Linked DNA regions of Lepisosteus oculatus. The protein of the gene in region 2 binds, or shares a complex with, the protein of the main gene of each other region. Links are inferred from orthologs where the notes say so. Each region holds a gene or a part of one and is shown on either strand. Other genes may lie near its edges.

Evidence for each region.
Region 1: the proteins of dbf4 (region 2) and cdc7 are in contact, whole or in part, in a crystal structure (PDB 6YA8), measured with the Homo sapiens proteins. The link is inferred for Lepisosteus oculatus from reciprocal best matches to the Homo sapiens genes DBF4 and CDC7. Residues at the interface, in NP_006707.1 of Homo sapiens: Thr210, Arg211, Thr212, Gly213, Arg214, Leu215, Lys217, Pro218, Phe219, Val220, Lys221, Val222, Glu223, Asp224, Met225, Ser226, Gln227, Leu228, Tyr229, Arg230, Pro231, Phe232, Tyr233, Leu234, Leu236, Met239, Pro240, Ile242, Asn243, Tyr244; in NP_001127891.1 of Homo sapiens: Asn56, Val57, Phe58, Ala77, Gln78, Leu79, Gln80, Ile87, Ile93, Pro94, Thr95, Ser96, His97, Pro98, Ile99, Arg100, Ile101, Ala102, Leu105, Gln106, Thr109, Lys121, Tyr122, Cys123, Phe124, Arg125, Asn127, Asp128, Val130, Leu143.

Annotation. Positions count from the first base shown.
Region 1 is NC_090704.1:1,472,435-1,485,016, forward strand, and holds the start of cdc7 (cell division cycle 7-related protein kinase), read left to right. Parts: upstream 1-6,807; 5' UTR 6,808-6,970; intron 6,971-7,670; 5' UTR 7,671-7,687; coding exon 7,688-7,745; intron 7,746-8,653; coding exon 8,654-8,740; intron 8,741-8,910; coding exon 8,911-9,046; intron 9,047-11,092; coding exon 11,093-11,186; intron 11,187-11,278; coding exon 11,279-11,421; intron 11,422-12,456; coding exon 12,457-12,582. Other genes in the region: probable ATP-dependent DNA helicase HFM1, read left to right, coding at 208-290, 726-835, 2,009-2,110, 2,370-2,612, 3,815-3,875, 4,060-4,168, 4,770-4,912, 5,274-5,340. UniProt on the Homo sapiens protein: Kinase involved in initiation of DNA replication. Phosphorylates critical substrates that regulate the G1/S phase transition and initiation of DNA replication, such as MCM proteins and CLASPIN.
Region 2 is NC_090705.1:6,470,164-6,482,438, reverse strand, and holds the start of dbf4 (protein DBF4 homolog A), read right to left. Parts: upstream 4,858-12,275; 5' UTR 4,750-4,857; intron 4,295-4,749; 5' UTR 4,244-4,294; coding exon 4,198-4,243; intron 3,530-4,197; coding exon 3,351-3,529; intron 2,573-3,350; coding exon 2,381-2,572; intron 2,290-2,380; coding exon 2,239-2,289; intron 1,874-2,238; coding exon 1,804-1,873; intron 1,342-1,803; coding exon 1,259-1,341; intron 1,055-1,258; coding exon 1,009-1,054; intron 485-1,008; coding exon 439-484; intron 1-438. Other genes in the region: mitochondrial glutathione transporter SLC25A40, read left to right, coding at 5,689-5,785, 6,151-6,210, 6,289-6,395, 7,048-7,115, 7,949-8,073, 8,632-8,805, 9,373-9,482, 10,120-10,201 and 2 more. UniProt on the Homo sapiens protein: Regulatory subunit for CDC7 which activates its kinase activity thereby playing a central role in DNA replication and cell proliferation. Required for progression of S phase.

The DNA.
Region 1 (12,582 bases), on a different chromosome or scaffold from region 2:
TAGACAGTCCCAGAGTAGCTAACAGTGCTGTAGCACTTAATATTTTGCCATCTTCAAATCAAAGTATGACGTTTCTCTGCAGAATTAATTCCATTGATGGGAAACCTCTTTCTTGCTTTACTGTCATGTAAAACACATAGCACATCATAATCCTGACGGCTTTGTCCATTTTTTCTTATTATCCTTCACAATGTTATTCTGCATTAGATGAAAATGTCTAATGACACTGGAGCTGTAGACCTTCACCGGTTCTCATATAAACAGAATGATGGAATGCCGACTGGTTCAAGGTACAGTATCTGCCTGCATTTAACACTGTTGATTTCATGCTAGAACTATACATACAATACAATCAAAGTTGTTTCATGTGATTTGGGATGAGCTACAACTCATACAGCATCACAAAGTCTTCTGACACACATCTCTGTAAACATTATTTGAAGCAGCAGACATGACTTTAGAAACACTGCTTTTGCTGCTGTTTCTAAAAAGTGGTCAATTCAAATTCAATGCAAGCTTTATTGTCCCATTTGGGGAAATGTATTAACAATGCATTTACTGCACTCATGTAGATTTATATTGAAACATTACTGCTCAACATACTACTCAAGGTTTTATTTTTTTTAAATAATCCTTTAGATTTTATTTAAATACAGCAGCATCAAATAAAAACAAGTTTAAAGATTACTTCTCCAAGTGAACATGCTGTGCTTATACTCTAACAGAAGGTGTGAGAGGAACCAAGCTTTTATGCCAACAAAGGTGGAGGCTCTGGAATCTTTTGATAGTTTCACAACATCGCAACAAAGGGGAGAGCAGCAGTGCTGTGAAAGAGGTATGTACTGCATAAGGAGTGTAACTCTATACACTAAGCTTTGCAATTGAAGCTGCATAGCAATCAATTTCACCCAGTTTACTAAACAATCATATTAAAGCTGCCATAGCAGAATGTGCTCTTGTGTTTACTATCAGCATTTGCAGAAATATTGGAAGCTTGATGGCTAATGTTTCATCCAGATTCTTATTATTATAGACTACTATAATTTTTTTTCCTGCCCGAGTTGCTTTAATATGCTAAATGTGTAGCATGTAAGAAATATTTGCGGTGTATTGTCCATTATTAGTTTTAAAATTCCTGATTATACTATTAGAAGTGTAAAGTTAGAATGATAAATGGCGTGATTGAACACCTGAAAAAATTATCATATTTCTGAAGAATACAGATTACAAATGTGTTCTTCAATTGTCAATCCGTGTGCACAAAAGTATTGTTATAAACTGAGCATCACAAGAAACATCACTTTCTGATAAAAGATATCATACAGTATAAATGACAGAATCTTTTCTGCTGTAGGCACACATACATTTTATTTACTATCTATAAGTAAATGCTAGAAGTGGATAAGATTTGACATCAACAGGATTGATCATGAGGGTACCTGCTGTGACAGTACCATATGGGGCTGTGTCACAATCTCTTGTGCTCTTCAGAGTCTAAAGAAAGCAGGCACAGCAGGTGAGCAAAAGTACATGGATTCTGTCCAGCATTCAACATACAGAAGGCCCAGAGGTGTTGTGTTCTATTCACCAGGCTAGACACTCATCAGGTTGATTGACCTCATCATCTGTGTTCAGTCATCTCTGATGAGGCGATTCAGTGATTCAATGCTACAAAGTCATTTTTATGTATCACAGCTAGTGATCAAGAATCCATTAATCAAAATGATGCCAGTGTCCAATATTCATATACAGTACATTCATATACACTACCTTTTTTCTATAGTGTATATGAATAGTGACATGTTACTCATGATGCTCAGAATATAATGAAATAATATGAATTATTAATGTCTGTGTTGCCAGTTTAGGAGTTTAAGTTCATAAAGCTTTCTGTACATTTCTTATTTTATGTACTGACATTCCTCATGAAAATATTGATCTGCAGTGTCTAGACTGCTGTAGAGCAATGAGATTAATGATTTTGCAATGACTTCTTGCACTGAATCAGACTATGACACGGGATGTTACACTGCCAACACTCACAGCTGGATCGTCCCAGAGCCAGATGAGGAACTTCTCAGTCAAAATACTGAGGAAGCGAAAAACGCAAGTAAATACTTAAAAAGCAAACTGTTCAGTGCTATAAACTAAAAAGAAAATATATAGGTGTTTATTATTGCTGTCAAAACACTAATTGCTCCTATTACTCATTAAATTAATGTCAATCTGTGTGTTAGGAAAAAACACCAAGAATGTGTATCAGTGGTCAAAATTGTGTTGTATTATTGTACAACTCATTCTGATTACTGTTATATGTGCACTATACGTAATTCAATTATCAAAACAGTGCAGCTTTTTTCAAATTTCAGATTTTTCGGTGTGGAAGCAGTCTGATACTGGAAGTAAAGTCAACACTCCACAAAACAACACAGGTTACTCTGAGAATCAGAGGGTAAGAGACGCAGATGAAAGTGGATGCTTCTCAGAAGCTATGCGTGTGACATTCGATCTTGGAGTGGATGACTGGAGTGATATTGACGATGAGAATCTGGTACAAGTCAGTGAGCTTTCTGATGCACAGATACCACGGCCAGGATTGAAGAAAGCAACAGGTATACATTTTAACAAGAATTTTCCTGCTCTGTGATGTCAGTTTTAATACTGTACTGCTTTTAAAGTACAGTAATATTAAATAATAATTCCTTGCATTTATATAGATCAGATTACATAGAAGTGAGAAATTGTTTTACTTATGGAATTAAGTGGGAAATATAGGTATTTAAAACTATACAAGCCAGAAGAATTTGTCACAAATACCGGTGTATTTCATCTATTCTTATGAACATTGATTAGGACCTTGGCAGACCAAATAAAGACCAAATGCTCATCCTAAGCTGTATCAGTGACCTAGATTCTGCTATAGTTGGTAAACCTGTCAAGTTTTCAAATGATACCAAAAATAGGAGGTTTCGAAAAACCATAGATGCAGCAGATGACATTCGAAAAGATTTAGATTCAATTTGAGATTGATTGAACAAGCACCGGGCAGATGATGTTTAACACAGACAGTTGGAGGGTGTTGCATGCAGGTAGTAAAACATTAATTATAAAGACAAGAGCTCCTCAGGGATAGTGATGAAAATATCCTAGCAGTTATGTTAACACGTTGTTTACACATTCCAGACAACTCAAGGAAGCAATGAAAAAGGGAAAAATAACTTTTAGGCTGAATGGTTAAAAGCACAGAATGTAAATCAAGGGATGTGATGTTAATATTGTACAATGCACTAGTAAGATCACATTCAGCATACTGTGTACAGTTTTTCTATTTGGCTTGTTGATCTCTTGCTCTTCCAACTTGCCTGCCCTTGATCAAGGGCAGTGGCAAACTCAATCCAATGGGCTTCTTCATCAGTAGCAGTGAAACATGAACCGAGAACAAGAGACACTTCCTTATGCAAAGGGTAGCGAGGGTATGGAGCAAACCACCCAGCCCTGTAGATGAAGAAGGCTCTCTGGCTTCTTATAAGAAATGGCTGGATGAGATCCTCAGGGAATAGAACACAAGTCTAACATTCTACCACTGCCTAATGAGCTTGAGTTTTTCACAGTAAACTATTAAACCATATTATAGTTACGTTAACTGATTGTCCTGTTATAACTATACTTTATTGTTTTGCTTTTCCTTTGCAGTCATTCTGGTATTTATTGTCTTTACTGTCTATAGATTCCAGTGTATATCATGAAATCTGTTTTTCATACAAGTACCAACATTTCTGAGAAAAGCACTATTAAAGCTAATGTTTTATTACAGCGTTTTCAGCATCTTTGTACTCCAAGATAGGGCAGACTACATCATTCAAAGAATGTAAAGGGTAAGTAAATTCGATAAAAAGTAATTATACTACTTTCCTCATATGTTTACATTGTAAATATTTTAATAAGTATGTTAGATTGACACTACTTTTGCTATTATAATATTATAAAGCATCCTGTTATTTGCACACATTTTCAGTCGGAATATGCATGTATTTATTTCTTTATGTTGTATTTTTTTAGAACTACATATAATGACATTATACCGCAGGTGTCTAAGTGCACACCTGCACTTACCTGCACATCAGATGATCAGTCATCACAGTCCAGGAGCTTCTCAGATGCAAAACCTGTAAGTGCAGTAAAAGCTAAGCTTGCATATCTCTGCTTTCTTTAAATGTGTAGTATTCCCCATTTCATTTATGTAGCTCCTAGTCCTGAATTTAGATTAACAGAATTTCCATTCATTCTACAGTGCACAGCTGCAAAGTTTTCTGTAGCACAATGTAATGTCACAGAAAATGTATTAAATTATACAGGTATACAGGAGAAATCCTTATCAAAAGTTAACCAGATGTCAAAAACACCTTCCTCATCTCTTTGCTTTCAGCTCTTGACAGAAATAAAATAGGCAGTAAAAAGGCTGAGTGGTGAGATTGACAGATCTAATATTTTTACCATTGCAGACATATTTCTAGAAGATCTGCAGCTGAACTTCACTTAAGTCTTTTCCATGGGCACTATTACTGCTATACATGCATCTCAATATGATTAAATACCTCAGTGTTTCTTCCTCAGCGTCTTTACTTTAGAAGGTAGTGTGGGCAAGGATAATGCCACACTCCAAAGCAGTTTGGAAAATATCCAATCAGTATTATTTCAGACTGATAAACAAGCATTTGTCTCGAATCCTGCCTCATGACTGCTGAGTTATTTTTTTGGTTTCTCTTCAGAAGATTCATACTGAGCAGAGTGAGAACAGGATGGTGCTTTCATGCCCCAGACGGAATGTAACAAACTCATCAGCAGTTTTGGGAAAATTTGATTTTTTCTCCCATTTGCATGCTGCAAGCGCAGTATCAGAAGGCAGTGGCAGGTACAGTAAGTCACTCTGTGGGAGATCTTGCAGTATGTTAATACTCTGCACCTGTTATTACTGTTGATTTCTGAAACAGACTTTAATTGGAAATTCACATTTATGTGTGTATTCGGATAGCACTGCCTGAAACTCATAGCTTCTTTAATCTTGTGGTTAAATTTGCATTTAGGATTTGAGTTCACATTCAATTACTTCAGGATAATCACAATTACTGTGAAAGAAATACACTCAAACTTGTTACGCTTTTGAATGTAAATAATTACTCACAGAATAGTTAAATATGAACAGGTTATTTGGTCACTGAGAGAAAATCTGAACATAAAAATATTACAAACCTTACTGTCACATTGTGTTCCAGATTTGAGAGGGAAGACAGCGCCACAGAAGTTAGTGCTTTTCTTGGAATATTTGATGGAATATTTTAGTACTCCCCAAAAGTCTGTTCAGATGCTAGTAGAAATGTTGTAAGTTATTGTATTTCTTTGATTTGATTGTTTATAAATCTGATTTTAAATGTATTGTTAATTGTTAATAATTCAAATGAACACATTGAGATTTTGATTATTTTATCAAATATATGATGTGCTCTCTTGTTGAACTCTTGTGGTTTCTTCGTGTTTAATTTTAAGTTTATATACATTTTAGAGACAAATAGGGAGGCTGGTGAGGGCACACAGAGCCAATGACAGCAACAATCTTGAGAGTAATCTGTATGAACAGATGAGAGGAAACAGTGATGTCAACCATGCCCTGTAAGCACACCTTAGGGAGCCAGAATGGAGGATTATTCCCTTCCCCACAAGCGTTCAGTGTTCCTCTGAAGGTTTGTCACCTTCGGCTGAAGATAACATCTTTTCAAGTGGTGACCCATTGGTGACAATATTTCATAGCACCCTCGTCATGCACAGCTTAGTCACACCTTACAATGAACGAAAGTCATCATTCCCTTAGTTTCATAACTAGCAAGTTTATAACAGTGCTTTTAAGTGAGATATTTACCCTTTTTAAATTACACATTAAGGACAGTATTTGTGCTGAGCCAACCATATGCAAAAAAATGCATGTTGTTAATAAACAGAGTCATGTATGTTTTTAATGTGCAGGAAAGTGCAGACGCAAGTTCCTTTTCACATCAGGTTTGTCCTTATAGAGCAGCAGAGTCCTGTCTTGGTCCCAGCGGGCTGGTGTGTCTGTGGGTCTTCACTCCAGCTCAGCTCTTAATGAGCTGCACCTGCTGGTGACTGGGTGAACTGGTCCCATTTAACAACTGTCCCCAGGTCTGGAATGCTGCAGCATTGAAGAGACCTAGAAGACCAGCGGACACACTGTCCCTCCAGGACCAGGACTGGACACCCTGTCATGTATATCAGTGCCCAAAACCCTGCCTTCAGGAGCTACAGGTCTCTCGAACACATGGCATCAGGAAAGGCCAGCCTTTCCAGTCCATTACAAGCCTATGACCTCTATTACTGAACTAGTGCTTTATTATCACAGCTGCTGCAGATCATGTGATAATTAAGGATTATCCCGTCGCCCACTTATCCAGCCTCACATACTCACCTGGGAAAGCGCTAGCTAGAATCCAGTCGCTAGACACTTGGGATGCAACAAACAACAACGGCATCACATCAGACTGGAGGAACTGGATGGTGGGCTTCGTGCAGCAAACAGACGGGCAAGAGAAAGGGTCGATCATGCAGTTCGATTCAGTGTCTACGGGCATGACAAATTTACAGAAGTTTTGGTAGAATATATATATATATCTCATCAACAACAGCAGCCTTGTGTGTCTTTCATTTGCATTGCAAAGAGCTGTCCGTGCACAAGAGCAATGGTTCGGCGTGAGGCCGCTGCTCTGCGGGGGACGAGGGGTAGTGCGGTTGCATCGCGTGCCGACGCACGGCCCTGGAGCGAGCCGGAAGCTCTCGCTCTCGCGCTGCGCGGCCCCGCCCTCCCCCCTGACGTCACGTTTGCGCGGGTCGCTCGTCTGCGGGAGGAGGAAGAGAGACGCGGCCGGCCGGCAGCAGCGCCTGGGCTCTCCGCTCCCGTACTGAGGTAACGGGGACGCCTTTGAGCCTCTAGATGAGCGGGGTTAGCGGCGGATGTGCTGTCGGAAGTTTTTGTGCTGGGGTTCTTTAGTCAACACGACCCTGACAGACGCGCGGTTATATTCGCGTTGCTGTTTCTGCGGGTCGCCTCCCGGGGTTTGTTTACAGGGCAGTCCTGCCGGGGCTGATCGGAGATGAGTCGTGCGCTCCCCCCTCCTAACTTCATGTTGTAGCTCGTCCTGAAGTTTGCGGGGTGAGGCGACGTGGCGGCGGTGGCGTGAATCGGCTTTCCTGCGAGTTGCGTGTGCGCCCCGGCTATCCGGGCGCTGTTCCTGCTGTTCCCCCCGGGATGGCACTTGGACAATAAAAGTTCCCGCTGAGCGTTGTGCCACAAGCCGTGATGTTAAACAAGTGGCACACGTGCCCTCCCCCCCCGATGGTCTGCGGGCTCCCGGGGGTCGCACGCTGCAAGCTGTCTGGGGGGTTTATCGTCCTTGCAAGCGGACGGCCCGAAAACACCTCGGGTTTGTTCTCTTCTGCGATGCTCAGACGTGATCGTTTGACAGAGACAAAGAGAACAGTGCGTAAAAAGGAGAAAACCTCATCGGTCTTGACGTGTGTGTGTGTGTCTATGCGCGTTATTGGGTACGTATTTGAACCTGCCCCCCCCCCCCAAAAAAAAAAAGTGACTTTCTGTTGTTCGTCAGGTTTCTGTCTATTGGAGATGGAGTCGGCTCCTTTACAGATGAAGCCGGAGGGGCGCGTTGGAAACTACATCTCGCGTAAGTGGGAGAGAGCTGCTGCCTTCGAATAGACCCCAAAAATAAACTTGAAGTTTTTCCAGCCAGGCAACCTGTTGCTTCATTGAAGGATTTGTCTCCAGGTCCTCAGGACCGAGGTTGCAATACGTATGACACTTCCATTGTACAAGTAACGGATGGGTACTGTACGTGCAGCAGAGCAGGATGGGGTAGTGATGTTCAGCACCGTTTATTTGTCATGTGCTGAACAAGTGCAATGAAATGCTGATTTGCATGTGTGCTCTGATAGGGAGACTTAAACACAGAACAGCAGCAGCAGCAGCAACAAAGTTAAATAAGGTACAACTTAAATACAAGTCAGACAAGCAGCGTGAGAAGAGGAAATAAACATGAGTGTGAGCCAGTGGTAGCGGTAGAGTTCAGTCATCTGACAGCCTGCAGGACGAAACCGCCTCTGAATCTTGAGGTTCGTGCCTTTATGGTCCTGTAATCCCTACCAGAGGGCAGGGGGGCGTACAGTACAATGATATGACAGACGCAGCATGCTGGAAGCGTGGTGCAGGTGCTGTAAGGATTTGAGCAGTGTACTGACGGTGTGGATACCCAGAAAGCGTCCCGTGTGGCCAAGGTGAGTCTCGAGTCAGCGCTGAGCTGTTGTGGTTGTGGGGCGCTCCTCTCTGTACTGGCTGTGCAGGCATGGGGTGTCGTCTTCTGACTCCCATTCCCTCCAAAGCTGTGATTATTCTGATGTATTGATTTCTGAGGTCTGGGTGGCTTACTGGCACACGGGAAACCACACGTGCATTCAATTCTGAAGTAACCTCTTTGTTTTGTAACTCTGAAACCTTATAGTTGCCTTTATATATATATATTTGGTTTGGACAAAATATTGTTTGGTTTAAGTTGTTTTTTGTTTATTTTCTTTACAGGAGAAATCAAAACGGATATTGAAAGCTTGTATGAAGCCATACCCCAGCTCTCCAAAATCTTCGTCATATTGGATAAAATTGGTGAAGGTCTGAACTGCATTAAGCATTTTCTAATATAATGAACTTATTCTTTAGCTTAAGAAGCTGGAGCGCTGTAGCTGAGCAGCTGCAGTCTTGTGGTTTGGCAGCCAGAGCCAGTGTGTGGGGTCTGTGCACGCCGGATGTGTCATAGAAGTGTTTGTGTTTGGGATTAACAGGTACGTTCAGCTCGGTGTACCTGGCGGAGGCACGGTTGACGTCTGGCGCGAAAGAGAAGTTTGCTTTGAAGCACCTGATCCCGACCAGCCACCCGGTCCGGATTGCAGCAGAGCTGCAGTGCCTGACTGTGGCAGGGTGAGTCCTCTGCCCGTCGCCGCCACTGCTGACGCGGACCTGAGCAATAAAAACAAATCGGCCTATTCGCCTTTAAAAGCAGGCCTCTGTTTGACTGGAGGGCCAGGCGTTCCCCTTTCTGGTGATGTCGATATTTTTCCGGCAGTTCTGGTCGTGATTTATAAGTCTGGGGTCTTCCCATGCCTCTGTTGGAACGTGGCTTCTCAGCCTCTGGTCCTCCCGACCTGCACTGCTGCAGTCATGGGATGTGTGCCACTCTGGTCCTTTCTGTGTTGACGCTGCTAACTAAGAGAGAATGCAGGGCCTGGCGGCTGCAGAACCGCGAAGTGGACTGGATGGAAGGGCGTGCCCTTGAGCCGTCTCGTTGCAGGGAATCGTGCTACGCATCCGGTAGGGGAGCGCTGCTCCAGCCCTTCGGGGCCCGGGCGCGGCCGGTTTTCCAGATCCCTTTAAACGGGGTCGACAGATTGACGATGTTTGAAAAGTGTCAAATTGGTCTGTGCAACGCGCGCAAGGGGCCCAATCGGGTCGTTAAGAGCAGAGGTGGAAGGAATTGAATTCGAGGTGCGCAGGCAGCCGCAGCTGGCCGGCCGAGCCGGAGAGACTTGCCCCCAAGGTTACCATGGAAGGTGTGCAGTGTGTCCCCACAACTGCAGTGACTTTCCCAAATGACAAAGAATTCTCACATACAGGTGGCCTTCCGTGTGTTTTGTTTCCTCTTCGGTTGCTGTGCCTTAATTATGCTGATGAAAGCGGCACGTGTTTGCCCCTGCACATCGGGGTCAGAGTGTGCTTGCCAGCAGGAGTGAGGCCGTCCTGGCACGTTTGCCAGATGTTTTGGAGGCTGGTTTCTTCCCTAATGGACCTGAACACAGTGAACAGGTTTTCTTTAAGGAGGTTCGTAATTGCTGTGCGAGCGAGCATACAAAAGTAGCTCTGTAAAGCACCATCAATTTTGTTTCTTAAATTGTTTTGGGGGGTAGGCATCTTAAAAGGGCAGTTACTGCAAAATCGAGAGTTTTACGTTACTGCCCCATTGAATAATTTACTGCAAGTGAGATAAAAACAAGTTAAAGCATGTTGTTTTGAAGTGGCTTCCAAAGAAGAAACAGTTTTCATCTGCTCTGCTGTGTGTTGTTATTATAGATCTGGCTGGGGACGGCTTTTGAGCAGTGTTGATCAGTAATGGAAAGACCTTAGGCTATAAAACAGCAGTCTGATTAAGTTTCATACAGTTGAGACTTCAGATCATTTGGAAGTCTGCAATATATTTTGTTTCTTTTGATTAAAAGTTCCCACAAAACGAGGGGGGAAAACAGAAGAGCTTGTGACTTTTCCAGATGTCCCATGTGCTCATTATTTCAATAAACCCAGTTTTTGTCTCTCCTTTGCTCTTTAAAGGAATGGAGAATGGCCTTCCGCTGTTCTGCCCTAACTGTATTATTACTATGGAATATTAAATGCAGACGCATACTTAAACTGAACTGTTCTTAATCAGTGCATGGTACAGATCGTTAAGCTTTGCAGATATTTCCAGGAGTAAGTCATTAAAGGGTGTTAAGACTGCTTCATGTCATCCAGACTTGACGAGAGCATTCTCCAGTATTTTGCTGATACTCTTAAGCCATAGGCCTACATGTCACTGTGCAGCACGTGCATTTGCTGATTTTTAAGATGTGTTTTTTTGCTAACAACTGGCCCATGCCAGGGTTTTGATGTCAAATGAAACGCCCACAGCTTAATATTGATTAAGAGTTCAGTGCCTTTCTAGAGCATTTTTCTTTTTGATCTGACGCATGCAGTTTCTAAAGCCCCAGCAGGGATCATGCACCAGCCTGCATGAAGTCCGTCTGTGGTTTTGTTTCTTGCCGTACTTGAGCAGCTCCACATCTTCAGGTGGGGTTTGTAGGAAACCCAACAGCCTTGGCTGCACTGTGTGATCTCACTCATCCTTCTTGCACCATGAGCAGGAGGAGAAGCCGAAGTGTGAGTCTGTATGGCTGTTGGGAAGATGCTCACGGGGGTTTTTAAACCTTCTCATTCTAGCGGAAAAGAAAATGTCATTGGGGTGACGTACTGCTTTCGAAAGGACGACCACGTGGTTATCGTCATGCCTTACCTGCAGCATGAATCCTTCGTGGTAAGTCGCTCACCGGAATATCAACGGACCTTTTTTTTTGTTTCAGAAACCACTTTCATGAACGCACGCTTTTCTTCTCGTGCCTTTTGCAGGACATCGTGAGCTCGATGGGTTTTGGAGAGGTGCGGCGGTACATGTTTCACTTGCTCAAAGCCCTCCGGCACATCCACAGCTTCGGCATCATTCACCGTGACATCAAGCCCAGTAACTTCCTGTACAGCCGCCAGCAGCAGAAGTACGTGCCGTCTCCTCCCTGAGCCGCGCGGTAGCGGAACGCAGACTGTGCCCAAACCGAGCTAACTCTGCCCATCTCGTCCGCTCTGTCGGTCGTTTGTAACCCTGGGGTTGTGCAAAGTTCTCCTGTGGGAGTGTCAGGGAATAACAGGCAACACTGCAGGCAGCCGGCAGACAGCCCCCCTGTGCATCTCCTGCCTTGTCCACCTGGTGACCCATCCTGGTCACTCGCGCAGACTCAACTTCTGTGTGTGTGTGTGATAAGTGTGTTAAGTTCATCCTTGAGAGAATTATTATAGAGACTCAGTTTCAAACAGCGCTGCTAGTTTGCAGTTGACATGTAGCAAATGTTGAATTAATAACATCTGAAACGAGCACTATAAACTGAATGGCTCTAGTGGCCTTTGTATAAGTACACATCATGCGGTTGGATGTGAATGGCATATGCAGTGCTTTACAGGAAATTTGCTGCACTTAAGTGCTTCAGGCCCGTTTAAGTCCCAGGTTTTAAGCGTTTGATTTGTTCGTTTTAAAGGAGAACCACTTTTTGGATTGAGGTCAATCACGTCGAGGTCAATAACTTCTGCCATAAGTCATAAGATCCAGCTTAGAGCCATCTGCCAGTCTCAGATCTACAATGCCAGCACTTGGTGGCAGCCTTTTGTTTTCCAGAAGCTTCTGCCTTATACCCGATGGAAATCTGCCATTAGGAACTGGGGTTTTAATCTGTTGTTGGCGAGCTGGTCTGTTTTGATTGGACCGAGGCCCTGGTGGGCCCTGGTCTGTATCAGAGGACAGAGACGCTGCCTATAGAACATACAGTCCCTGATGCCTCACAGGGTTTGTTTTTTTTATTGTTTGGGAGCCAGGAAAAAAAAAATATTTTTACATTCGCTTCGTAAACAGACCAGGGGGAGTGGAAACCATAGGAACCAGCAGGACTTGCTTGGCGGATTCGTACCCGCTGGTCTAGATGACGTGTGGCGTCAGGTATCGGGAGATGAATAGCGTTCCTGTTTCTCCCCAACACCTGCAGGTATGCTCTGGTGGACTTTGGCTTAGCGCAGGGGACCCCCGGTACCCAGATCGAGCTCCTCCGGGTCCTGAAGGCTGAGAGCCAGCAGGGAGCTTCCACAGATAACAGACCTCCTGCACCCCCTGA
Region 2 (12,275 bases):
GCGATTCTCCATATATGTATTACAACAAAGTGGTGTTCAACCCTGTGATCACATTATCTAATCTATGCAATTAATTAACCACAAATAGTACCAAATGCAATGAAATAACCAAAAAATAAAACCAATATTATATTGTACTTATTCACAATAATCTCACGATCACATATATAGTACAGATTACCCGACTGTAAAGCAAAATAAATTTTGTCTCAATACTTCTAGAGGGCAGCACACACTCGAGTAAAAGCAATAATAATACTCTTGACACTTAATTTTTTATAACTACCACATATCAGCAATATTGAATTCAATTAATTTTTTATATAATTCCACTAATCCATGTATCTCTACCTTAATTTCTAACATTTGGTATGGCCTGCAATTTTAACATAACTAAGGAATATTCGAACACTGAAATCAAAGCAATTTTTTTCTTACCGGCTTTGATCTTCCACTTTTAGAAAAGGTTTTTTGAGATTCCCAACTGAAAGAAAAATATCACAAGCTGAACTAAAACAAAAGCATTACACTAACAAGAAAAATCAAAATATACATTATAAGAGACCATGTAAAATGAGAGCTGTCTTGCATTGAAAGGGAAAGCTGTACATTATACTACATGTACACCTAACACCCTGCAATTTACAAGTAAATTAGAATAGCCTTTTAATCCTTTAAATATCAAACTTTAACAGTCAAAGTAATCTAAAAATATTTAAGCAACAAATACATCAGAAATTGCCATCATGCTTTTGTTATTGTTTCTGCGATATTAAGCAGTCTAATCTATTTACCTTTAAGTAAATAATTTTCAGCTTATCCATATCGATCATTTTTAAGATGACATTTTAAAATTAGGAGATGATGTGTTCATTACTTATTTTTCTTTTAGATCAGTATTACAAAAGTAACTTAAACTGAAAAATGGGGGTTTAAGACTAAAACCTAGGTTAGTCAAGTTGCTAAAATTATCAAGAATCTGTAGTTCAGAAATGATACTGAATTTACCTTCATTTTTTTTAACGGAGGTTTTGGCATTTGTAGCGTTGCTGACCTTTTAAAAATGAGAGAAAAGGAATTAATGCTTAAACACATTCTCCTGCCTTCAATCCAGTTTATTAATTTTCATTTGAAGTTCTGTTCTTTTTTATTATTAAGTTTACTTAAGTAATCTACAATGAAACAATGACATTCACCAACCCCTTTAATCTACAATGTTATAAAAACCAAATGTTTCACAGGAAGAAGAGACACTTACTGTCTTTTTTGCCTTTGAAGTGTGTAAATTAGGTTGGTCAGTAGGTAGATCCTTCTTCTTTTTTTCAATATAAGACAATATATCTGATATTGCAGTCAAGGAGTAATAGTAGGCTCATATTAGCATTTATCTTTCCTACTACACATTTGAAAAACAGAAACCAAACCTCACAAAGCACTTAGTGATGGCCACTTAACACTGTAAGCATTTATTTAGATGTAATGGTGGCCAACTGAAACAAAACTAAAGATTAAAGATTACAGATTACATTTCAATCATTTATAATTTCCTAAATATTGTAGAAACTAAAGCAGATGATTAGTTAAATTAAGTACTTTAAAGCTCATATGAAATGAAACATAATAACATAATTGTTCAATAATGTATGTAATAAATCTTTTGAAACTAATTTCTTAATGGTGACCCACAAAGCTTTGTTGGCTGGATTGTGGCCCTCTAGGACATGCAACAAACACAAAAGTAGAATTGTACTTTTGAATATGCAATAAAAAAAACAACCAATATATAGCACTTTTAAAGGATACCATCAATATACAGTATCTTGACGCCCCAGTCCAAAGCATTTGACAAGATTCTGTTGGTCTGAATTAGTTCCTGGAAAAATGAAAACGGTTTAATTGCAAGAAAAATACTATTTGCTTGGAATTCTATTTTAAATTCTTCAAAGTTTATAAGAAAAACTAGTTAATAAGGAACATTCCCAAATAAGTCTTACATCCAAATAAAACATACTACTTAGTTACATTAAAAGAATGTTTTCATACTTTTTTTAGCACAAAACTTATATGGCACTGATCACCCTCATATGATATGTACCATGTAAAATATATAAAATGAAAATTATTTCAACATTTTCAGCAGCAAATGTTCTGAAATGTAGAAACACTCTCCCAGAACATATCAACATTCTATATAAAATCCTGCTTACAGTAGATGGAGACACTTGACAGAATATTTACCTGTTCCTTGACAACTTTTTCCACCAGTGATTTCCCTCTGCTTTTTATTGCCTGCACACAAAAAGGGCATTGTAACTATACAATCACAGAAATGCTAAGAGGAATGAAAAAAAATGTTAGGAAAAGTTCATAACAAACTCACGTCTGCAGCATCCTGCGAGCTTACTTTACAGCTTCCTCTTCGGCTGCTGAGGCAAGGCGAGCTGTTCCCAGTGGTATTGGGAGAGCCAGGGCTTGATAAAGGAGAATTTCTTCCAACTGATTTCACAAATTTTGCCTCTTTCTTATTGGAAACAAGATATCGAATGTCCTTGCTGAAGAACCTCTCAATGGTCTAAAATGAAATAAATCTGTTATACATGTAATGTAGACTTAATAAGAGCAGCATTACCACTTTAAAGCCCAATTTCATGTCTGCTTCCTTACTCAGTTTGTTATAACTGCTAGAGGGAATCAAGTCTTTCTAAGCAACCAGGATAGAGGAAAACTGAAGTGAGAGAACCATTAGGGAATTATGATAATGTGGCAAGAAATCCATTCAGACACATATCAGGTTCAAAGAAATGCCAGGCAAAAATAAATAGTTTTAGCCTCGAAAACAGAAATCTCACTCTTCATTCAAAACCCTCACAGATAACATAGATCCTACGGCCACTGGCAGAATCAACAGTGCGAATAGGAAAATACAAGTGGTAAGTAAGGGGAAGTACATTTAAAACCAGACTGTCACAACATTTTTATATATAAAGTGTTGTGACAGTCTGGAAAAATCTATCTTGTCAGACTTGGTTACTAAACCAAAACCTTTGCATCTTTCAAAAAACAACAAACAGCCTCCACATATGCAAACATGCTTGTGCCGTTATCATTTCTAATTAACTTCTTCAGTTTTCAAGACAAATACTTCCAAAGTTATAATAACTGTGGTCCTAAAGGTTTAGGTTTGTTCAGTCACAAAAGTAATAACTTTGAAAGTGGTAGAACAATAACAGCTTAGATCCATTGTTAAATCTGAATAATGCTTAATATTCCATATTTATACACACGTGGATACACAAAATACAAACAGTAAAATGCAAAAATATTCATATTTGTACTTAAAAATATCTTACCCCACCAAGCTTTTGAATGTCTTTCTCCAAGGCCTCAGTGGTCTTACTGAATGGCAGATCTAGATAAAATAGTTTTCCAGCCAGAGGTTTGGTTTTCAGTCCTGAAGACCCATTTGCTGTTTGCAGCACACTTTTTAATGTCACCTTGTTCTGCTCTGTTTTGTCAATCGATTTTGAGTCTGTTAAAGAATGGACACGATATCAGGGGTTTTTCAGGTTGCTCTTGCTCAAACAAAAACATAGGAGAGCAATTTTAAAGATTACACCCACATTTCCCAATAGTAGCAGAATAACAGCATGTCAGAGGGTAAGAAAAGTAGGTGAATGAAATGTAATGACCTGTTTAATACGCTTGCAAAGTTTCAAACATGCCAGATTGGGAAACGTTAGAAAATATTTTCCCATACATAAGAATACTTTTCACATTTCTCCATTTGCACTTTGAATTTGTGGGGATCATATATTTCATCATGCTTTAACAGACTTATAATACATTTTGGAGAATGTGTTTTTCTAATTTAATCAAATCCAACCTAGGACAGTAACAGATTCAAGTTACCATGCAGCTACATCCTTTCGAAAGAATAGCTCTGGGTGAGCATTAGGCTTCAATTTGACTCTACACTAAAAACAAATACTTAAACTTGTTACTCTATGTGTCATGTCTACTTATGTATATTTCTTCATATATTTTCTACAATAACTTGGCCAAAGTATTGATGCAATATCAAACAGTGTGTTTTGGTTAAGGCAAACAAGTTAAACAGAATACTTTCTGGTGATCTGCACAAAAATCTCAATATTCAATGACATTTTTCTCCATGGTATGTTTAAGAAACTAAAATACCTTGCAACTTGACATTAACATCCTGGGAGGTAACCCTATTTTTCATTTTCAGTATATATTACATTTGGGGGAGTAGGGACACCTTCTATAATGGCTTCTGTTGAAAGAAACATAGAAAAGACATCTAATAATGCACGCATTGTTTCAACACGAGTCGTGAGGATTTTATAAAGCAAATTATGATCCAGAAGTAAAGCAACATAGCTCATCGAAAAACATGAAAAACACCCTGCAAAAACATGTTGTTTAAAAAATTAATCAAACTACTGTGTTAATGTGCTTTTAAAAACTACACATATTTTAGAACAGTAGATCAGTTTAAAATTGCACATTGCATAAAATGCGTAGTCGTTACGAACGTACAGAAACACGTCTGCTTTTTTTAAAAAAAACTACCGACATTTAACTTGGAAGTAGACTGCTACTGTATGAGAGCAAACAACCGTGATAAGCCTGCTGAGAACGAACCGCATACTAACTCTTAATAGCCACGAATTATATCGAAATCAGATTCATAATGATTAATCTTGCCCACCCGAACAAAATACTTACCGTTATGAATGCTAAAGAATGAAACAATTCAAATTTTCCTTAACACAACTTTCTTCTTTCCCGCTTCGACTAGTTAGTATCCCAGAAACCTCTCTTTCAAACTATCTTCATTTTGGATTCCAGAGTTTCCGTCTCACTTTTTAAAATGCAATTTATGTTTTCTGTTCATTGCGATTACATAAGAGAACTTCTGACAAGTTAAATATAAAATAATTGTATTATTTTTAATTTTGTAAGAATTGTGATACGTAAAAAGTGTTATTTTTGTCGTTCATTTCTTCAAGGTTCGAAAAGTAAGGCATAATTTAAATGTCCGTGTTGTTGAATGTGCTGTGGCCAATGTGAGAATAGACTCATCGGCATAGGTCATGTGATCCAAGCATGTGTGCTGTGAGAACAGCATATGTAACACATAGGTCAGAGCCTTGGAGAGAATCCTGATGAGACATGTTGTATTGAAACCCTAACAGTTAGTTTACCTAAGTGTCTTTAATCTAATTTAATTAATGGTTTCGTTGCCTTTATGCTAACGATGAATAATTCAGATGTGGTACAGTGTCGATCTCGACATTTAACTGATGTGAAGAAAACAGCCAGGAAAAGAGCACAGCTGTACAGTTTGACAGTATCAGTTTTATTTTCTTGCCTTTGAAGAGTTAGCAAGGTAGGTTGTACGTATTGCACTCAGAAACATCAAATTTTTCCAGGGTGTTTTTCAAATAGTTTAAAAAACTTAATGGAGTTGAACTCGTTTAAGGGGAAAAACAATGCTTGTTTTATTCAATTAACAACAGTGGATTTAGAGAATGTCAAATATGCACATTCAGAACAGAGTGACATTGAATTTCACGTCTGAAGGAAAAAGCAGTACAGGTGTATGCCAGCTCGCAGTTTGTTTGTCTTTTGAGGATTGCCGTTGTATTCCTGATTAAGGACAAGATGAGTGGCCAGGGAACAGTGTCTGTGCTCAATGACATCACACCTGTCCAGCAAATGATAGCTTCCTCCTCAGGAGCGCTGCTTACTTCACTGTTTGGTAAGAAACTCTTTCATTATGTGCTAAGAGAAAATGAGTAATAGACTTCCTAATTATTGTTTTGTAGGAGTCTGGCATGAAAATGCTCGAACCAATGTGGGTTTATTACAGCTAAGCCAGAAAAAACAGACTGTGCCAAACATTAGCTTGGTTAATGTGGATAGCCAAAAAACATTAGAAACATTTTTGACATCAGAAAATACAGAATGTGATATATGTATTAAATCCTGTCTTACACATTAAGTACTTATTGTAAAACTTGACATCAACAGACAGCTGCCGAACTAAGTACAGCAAGCTGTAAAGCTTAGTTTGAATTCCTTCTGAGTCTTTCTAACTCTTATTTATTTCATTTTTCATTCTAGTTACACCCCTGGATGTGGTGAAAATTAGGCTTCAGGCACAAAGAAGTCCCTTTTGGAAAGGTAAATTTGTTAGCTTTTAAAAACAAAATTCATTATATTTTGAAAGGTAATTCTAATTCTATTTTGTTCCTTTCCTAGGAAAATGTTTTCTGTATTGCAATGGCCTTATGGACCACATTTGTGTGTGTGAAAATGGGAACTCCAAAGCCTGGTACAAGGCCCCTGGACATTTCACAGGCACTTTGGTAATCTGAATGTGTCTTGCTTCCCGTCGTGTTTGTGTAAGGTGTTACACTTATCGAGCGAAATCCCCATCGTCTTAATGAGAATTCACACTGTTGTGCTTAGCACTGCTTCTGTTTTCATTACCTGTAACTCCCTTAATGCTTTCTATACCTTTAGTCTTCTTCTAAATCAATAGGAGGTAGTCTCTTTTCTTAGTATCTGCACTTCAGTGTAAATTAACCAACTGATTCAGAACTGTCGAGAATGGTCTTAATTGAGCCAACTAATAATTAAATGATAGTAGTTCAAGTAGGTGGCTGCGTCAGCATGCGTAGGCTGCAAAGGAACAAGTAAAGGTTTATTCCATGCTGAAAAGAGAAGAAAAGAAACATAACGTTTCGGCTGTGGAGCCTTCTTCGGGTGCCGAAAAGGTTGTGTTTCTTTTCTTCTCTTTTCAGCATGGAATAAACCTTAATTGTTCCAATAATTGAATGGTTACAAGTAAATAAATGGCCAATGTTATAGCCTAAGCTAAGTTACGGAGAGCTAAGATGGAACAAAATCCAAAACATTTGGCTCAAAATGAAAGTGTTTCTTAAGGCTGTTCAGTGTTCTGTGTACTTTCTATTATAAAACTGTCATGTTTTGACGTGATTTTTTATTTTATTTTAGGATGCATTTATTAAAATCATTCAAAAAGAAGGAATAAAGTCATTATGGAGTGGGCTTCCTCCAACGCTGTAAGTTTGAAACAGTACAAGTGTATGCATACACAGATAGTTGGTGTATTTTGTATTTATAATGGCTAATAAAAAAAACTTGTGCTATACATTAGAATATCTCATACGTTAGTGTTACATTATACGGATTTGATACACCCTTAATGTACTGTATTGTGGAGTGAGACTATTCAGTACCTTACATATAGTCAGGAAAATTTAAAAAAACCTCAGGAAAATCTAAAGTTTGTTTTTAATGCCTCTCAGTATATATGTACATGTGCAAAATGCATCTAATGCTAGTTGACTTCTTCATGCAATTGTTTCGCAAAATAAAGATGGTGGAGTACTGAAATGTAAAATTAATTTAAAGGTCATTCTTGTCTTCTGCCATAAGACTGTACAACGCATACATTTTGCATCTGGGCAGAGGCAACATTGACATAACAATATATGCCAGGGACTTGTGCAATTTATATTTATATTTATATTGTGCAATTCAACTTTTGTATACTGTTCTGATTTGTTCTTTGTATGTTCTGGACTGTGAGTAACTCTTCTTAGTGCACTTCTCACTGACTGTGCTGATTGGATTGTATGTATTGTATTATTATTGTATCATTCGTTACACTGTGCTGTGTTGACTGTGTTAAGCTGTTGTTGCACTGCAATTTTTTGTCACGTGATCAGTGAAGTTTCTAATAAAAACCTGAGCATATTCCCATTCACACCAGAGGGCGCTGTATTGGCACACCATAACATCAATTTGCATTTATTAAGGCTTGTGTGTCTGGGCCAGTTAGTGCCCTCTGGTGTTTTTTTGTCATTGTCCAAATGCAATTTTTTTTTTCCAGAGTTATGGCTGTACCTGCTACTGTTATATATTTCACTTGCTATGACCAGCTCTGTGCTATTCTGAAGTACAGGATGGGCAGCGATTCTAATGAAGCACCACTGCTGGCAGGGGCTTTGGCTAGAGGTGAGGTGTTTCATTAAAAAGCAGCATCAGTACCTTTAGATCTTCTTTAAGGTGGTTAACAGGTGATTTAATCAAAGGGGTATAAAAGTATTAATGTTACCAATTAAAAATAAATGACTCTTTTAAAATAAATTGAATCTTTAACATAAGAAAACATTTTTTTCCTTCCATTTCTGTCCCCATACTGAATTTCTTCCCCCTTTCCTAAGATTAGAAGCAGATCGGCTTAAATTCTCTTTTGTGAAAGACACCAACAAAGCCGAAGACCAGATATTAATCTAAAAATAGAACTAGAGAATTGTGATTGTGTTGGCAAGAGATGTCTCTGACTACTAGGAGTATAAGACAGCATTCACTGAGCTTCCTTTTCCTCTCTTGGATTAATGAGTGCACTGTTAAAATGCTTTTTTTTACATATAGCAGACTAGGGACTCTTCCAGAGATGGGTGGCTTTATGATTAGGAGTGTTTAAATCTGATTGGATGTTTTTAACCCAGTTCTTGCTGATTTATAGTAAAATGGTGAGTTATTGAGCGAAATGTCTTTTTTTTTTGTTAGTGGGGTCTGTCACTGTGATCAGTCCGCTGGAGCTAATACGGACAAAGATGCAGTCCCAGAAGCTGTCGTATCGGGAGCTGAACACCTTTATCCGGACATCCGTGGCAGCTGATGGCTGGCTGTCTCTGTGGAGGGGCTTGGGCCCCACTCTACTCAGAGATGTGCCTTTCTCAGGTAGGTCAGCAAACAGGCTGTCTTATAACACCTCCAGGAGAATAAACACCTACAGTACAGCTGACTCCAGGAATCGGGGCCCCATAGCTGCTCTCCCATTTCTCATTTCATCGGGGATGTTAGTGGATGGTACATTGGTTCCACACATTGAATGGGTGTGAAAACATATGGGTGTGATTTCTTATACTTGTAACATTTTATTTTTCTGAGTTTTTGAGTTGTTTTAGTTGGTTCGTAAACTTCAATCATTTAATTTCAGAGGAGTTCTAGACAGAAAATGAAAGTCGATGGGATGGTCTGACGAAGATAAAAATGTTTGTTTGTTTTGTGTGCATGGGCCTGTTTTCCTATTAGTGTGGAGGCAAATCTCCACCAGCTTACCACTTTACAGATAAGCGAGGGGATACGAGGGGATAATGTAAAAGATGTTATCTTTATGGAAGCTGATATATTTTTAATCTAAAAGTGACTGAAATCTTTGGTTTGGGGCTGTTATTGCACGAATATGTTTATTTCCACAAGTCGTGGCTGTGAGTGCATTTAGCTGTGTTTTTACTGTCCACACAGCAATGTACTGGTATAACTATGAGCTTGGAAAGAAGTGGCTCTGTGAGAAGAATGATGCCAGAGAACCAACATTCATGATCACTTTCACCTCAGGAGCAGTGTCTGGGTCTGTAAGTAGACAGCTCATTGCTTTGAATTTCCTTAGTTTGATAAACCAGTCAGTCATATATTAGCTTATATTGGTGTCTGGGGTGTGAAAGATGTTTATGCAGAATCTCAGATGCGTAGCTCTAATAAGGAAAACCACTGCATGATTTTTTCCACCCCAAATTAATGTTGAACCAGTCTAATTCTTGAAGGACAACACTTCTCTGCAATAGAAATGACTTAACCACAATTTCATCTACTGGACAATGTTTTTTTTTTCAGCATGAGACAAGCAAATAAAATTATTTGATGTGAAAAGTTAAATTACATTTGTCAGAGCCAGTTTTTCCTGTTACCTGCATTGCATAAGTGGCTGTGTGCAGACAATATGTGATTCAATTTTTTTTTTTAACCTGGGTTATTTATTGGTGTAAAGGGCTGAAAGCACAATCCCTCCAAGCTGATTGGCGAAAGAGACAAATTGAGCTCTCATTACTCCGCAGCACTCTTGGATGTAACTCGTTGATGTGTGCAGTCTTGTGGTCGTGTCTATGAAACAAATCTCAAATTTTAGATAAATACTGGTTTGCAGTAACCAGAATGGCCAGTTACAATATAATAAAAGCCTTTAAAGTTTGTTTTTTTTCCTCGCTTCTCCAGATTGCTTCAATAATAACTTTACCGTTCGATGTGGTAAAGACACGGAGACAAATTGAACTTGGGGAGCTTGAAGCTTTGAACTGTAAGTATTAAGCGATAAACAGATTTGTTTCTGTATCGTTCCTTAATCTTGTTTTTCTCAGTGTAGTAAAACATAATGTATAATAATAATGATGTTTCTTTATTAGCCCTATACAATTTCTTGCATTAGGAATTCGTCTTTTCGCATACCCCAGCTTTTCTCCATGGAGACACAGACACACAGACAGGGAGAGAAGCTTGGGGTCAGAGCTCAGGGTCTGCCATTGTATGGCGCCCCTGGAGCAGTTAGGGTTAAGGGCCTTGCTCAGGGGCCCAATGGAGTAGGATTCCTCTGCCGGCCGCGGGATTTGAACTGGCAACCTTCCAGTAACAGGCGCAGATCCTTAGCCACAGAGCCACCGCTCCACCCAGTAGTGGCATGCTATTAAATGTGCAGAGGAATTTTTGATTCTGACAAAGTGATGAGTGACCTTTTCTCACAGACTGCATCTCTATGTTCTAGTATCTCCTCGGGCCTCGTCCTCCACCATGCACGTGATGAGAAGGATTGTGGCTGAAAATGGTGTTAGAGGATTATTCGCAGGTACCCCTGATTTAGTGTTCTGCGTTATTTCTCGGCTTTAATCTTTGTGTTAGATTTATGTCAACTGTAATGTCGTAAACATGTCTTCAGCTGGGCTCTTCTACAAAAAAAAAAGGTGCAGCCATTAAAATCATCACATTTAATCTCTTACACTTTCTCAAAGCATTGTAATAAAATAACAAGTAATAGGTTTACTCCCTGCTGAAAAGAGAAGAAGGAAACACGACGTTTCGGCCGTGGAGCCTTCTTCAGGTGTGGTTCAGTTGTGTTGACACCTGAAGAAGGCTCCACGGCTGAAACGTTGTTTTCTTTCTTCTCTTTTCAGCATGTAATAAACCTATTACTTGTTCCTTCACAGCCTATGCATGCAGATGCGGCTACCCACCTGAACTATTGTAATAAAATAGCTATTTAGATCTGTCTTTAGTTTCTCCCATCAGCAGATTTCATGCAACACCTCACAGCCACCACTAGATGGCAAACTATTACTGATGCCAAACAATCTGAAGGCCGAGCAAAAACAGAATATGTGCACAGTGATAATCCTAGCTGAACTTCTGAATTTGAACTTGAATTTATGAAGAAAACCCAGTTAATACTGTTGTATTATATGTTGTAAATAGTTAACTAATGTATGCATTCTGCTTTGTCTCTCAAATGATGCAGGATTCCTTCCCCGGTTGATCAAAGTGGCCCCAGCTTGTGCTATAATGATCAGCACTTATGAGTTTGGGAAGGCTTTCTTCCACAGGCGGAATCGAGAGAGACAGATGGTGGCACTTCAGAATGGGCCCTGAGCAAACAGCCTTACTCCAGTACTGTATATATGTGCCCATCACAGTTCCATAAAGTGCATATCTGGTTTTCAGATTCTGAATTGCATAATGAGACTGAGCATTTGCAGGTTTGGACAAAGATATTGCCTGTTCAAAACATTAACGTAATTATGCAGTTTTTTCAAAGTATGGATTGGTGTAAAGTAAAATAATTTCTGGGCTTTCAGGATGTCTTCAAGGCCCGCAAAATTCAATTTAGAAAGATCTAGATGTTAAATGTGTACACAGGCAATACATCTGGCTAAGTAAGATGAGGTATAAATATTTCATTCATAACCAAAACAAACTATATTGCATCAAATGTTGCTCACTGATCGAAAATATTGTAATATTCTGATTGCGTTTAATTATCATTGATCCTCCACAGAGCAAAACTAACCTCTAAAATAGTTTAAATTGCATTTTCAGTGTTAATTTAATCTTGTTTCCCAATAAAATATTTTTTTATTGACAACTGAAAGAAATATATTTCTATGTGGATGATTTATTTTCTAATTTAAATAACGCAGGATCAGGTGTTCACAAGCTTAAATATTTATATATTTTTTAAAACTGGAATATTATTCAGAAAGTAGACTGCAGATTAAGTTCCCTGCTATTTGTTTGGAATACTGTATGTCTACAGGATGTCTCATGTAGGTTCTCGAGTCATAGTTGAGGGAATCTGGTACTATAAAACAGCAGTAGTGATGAGT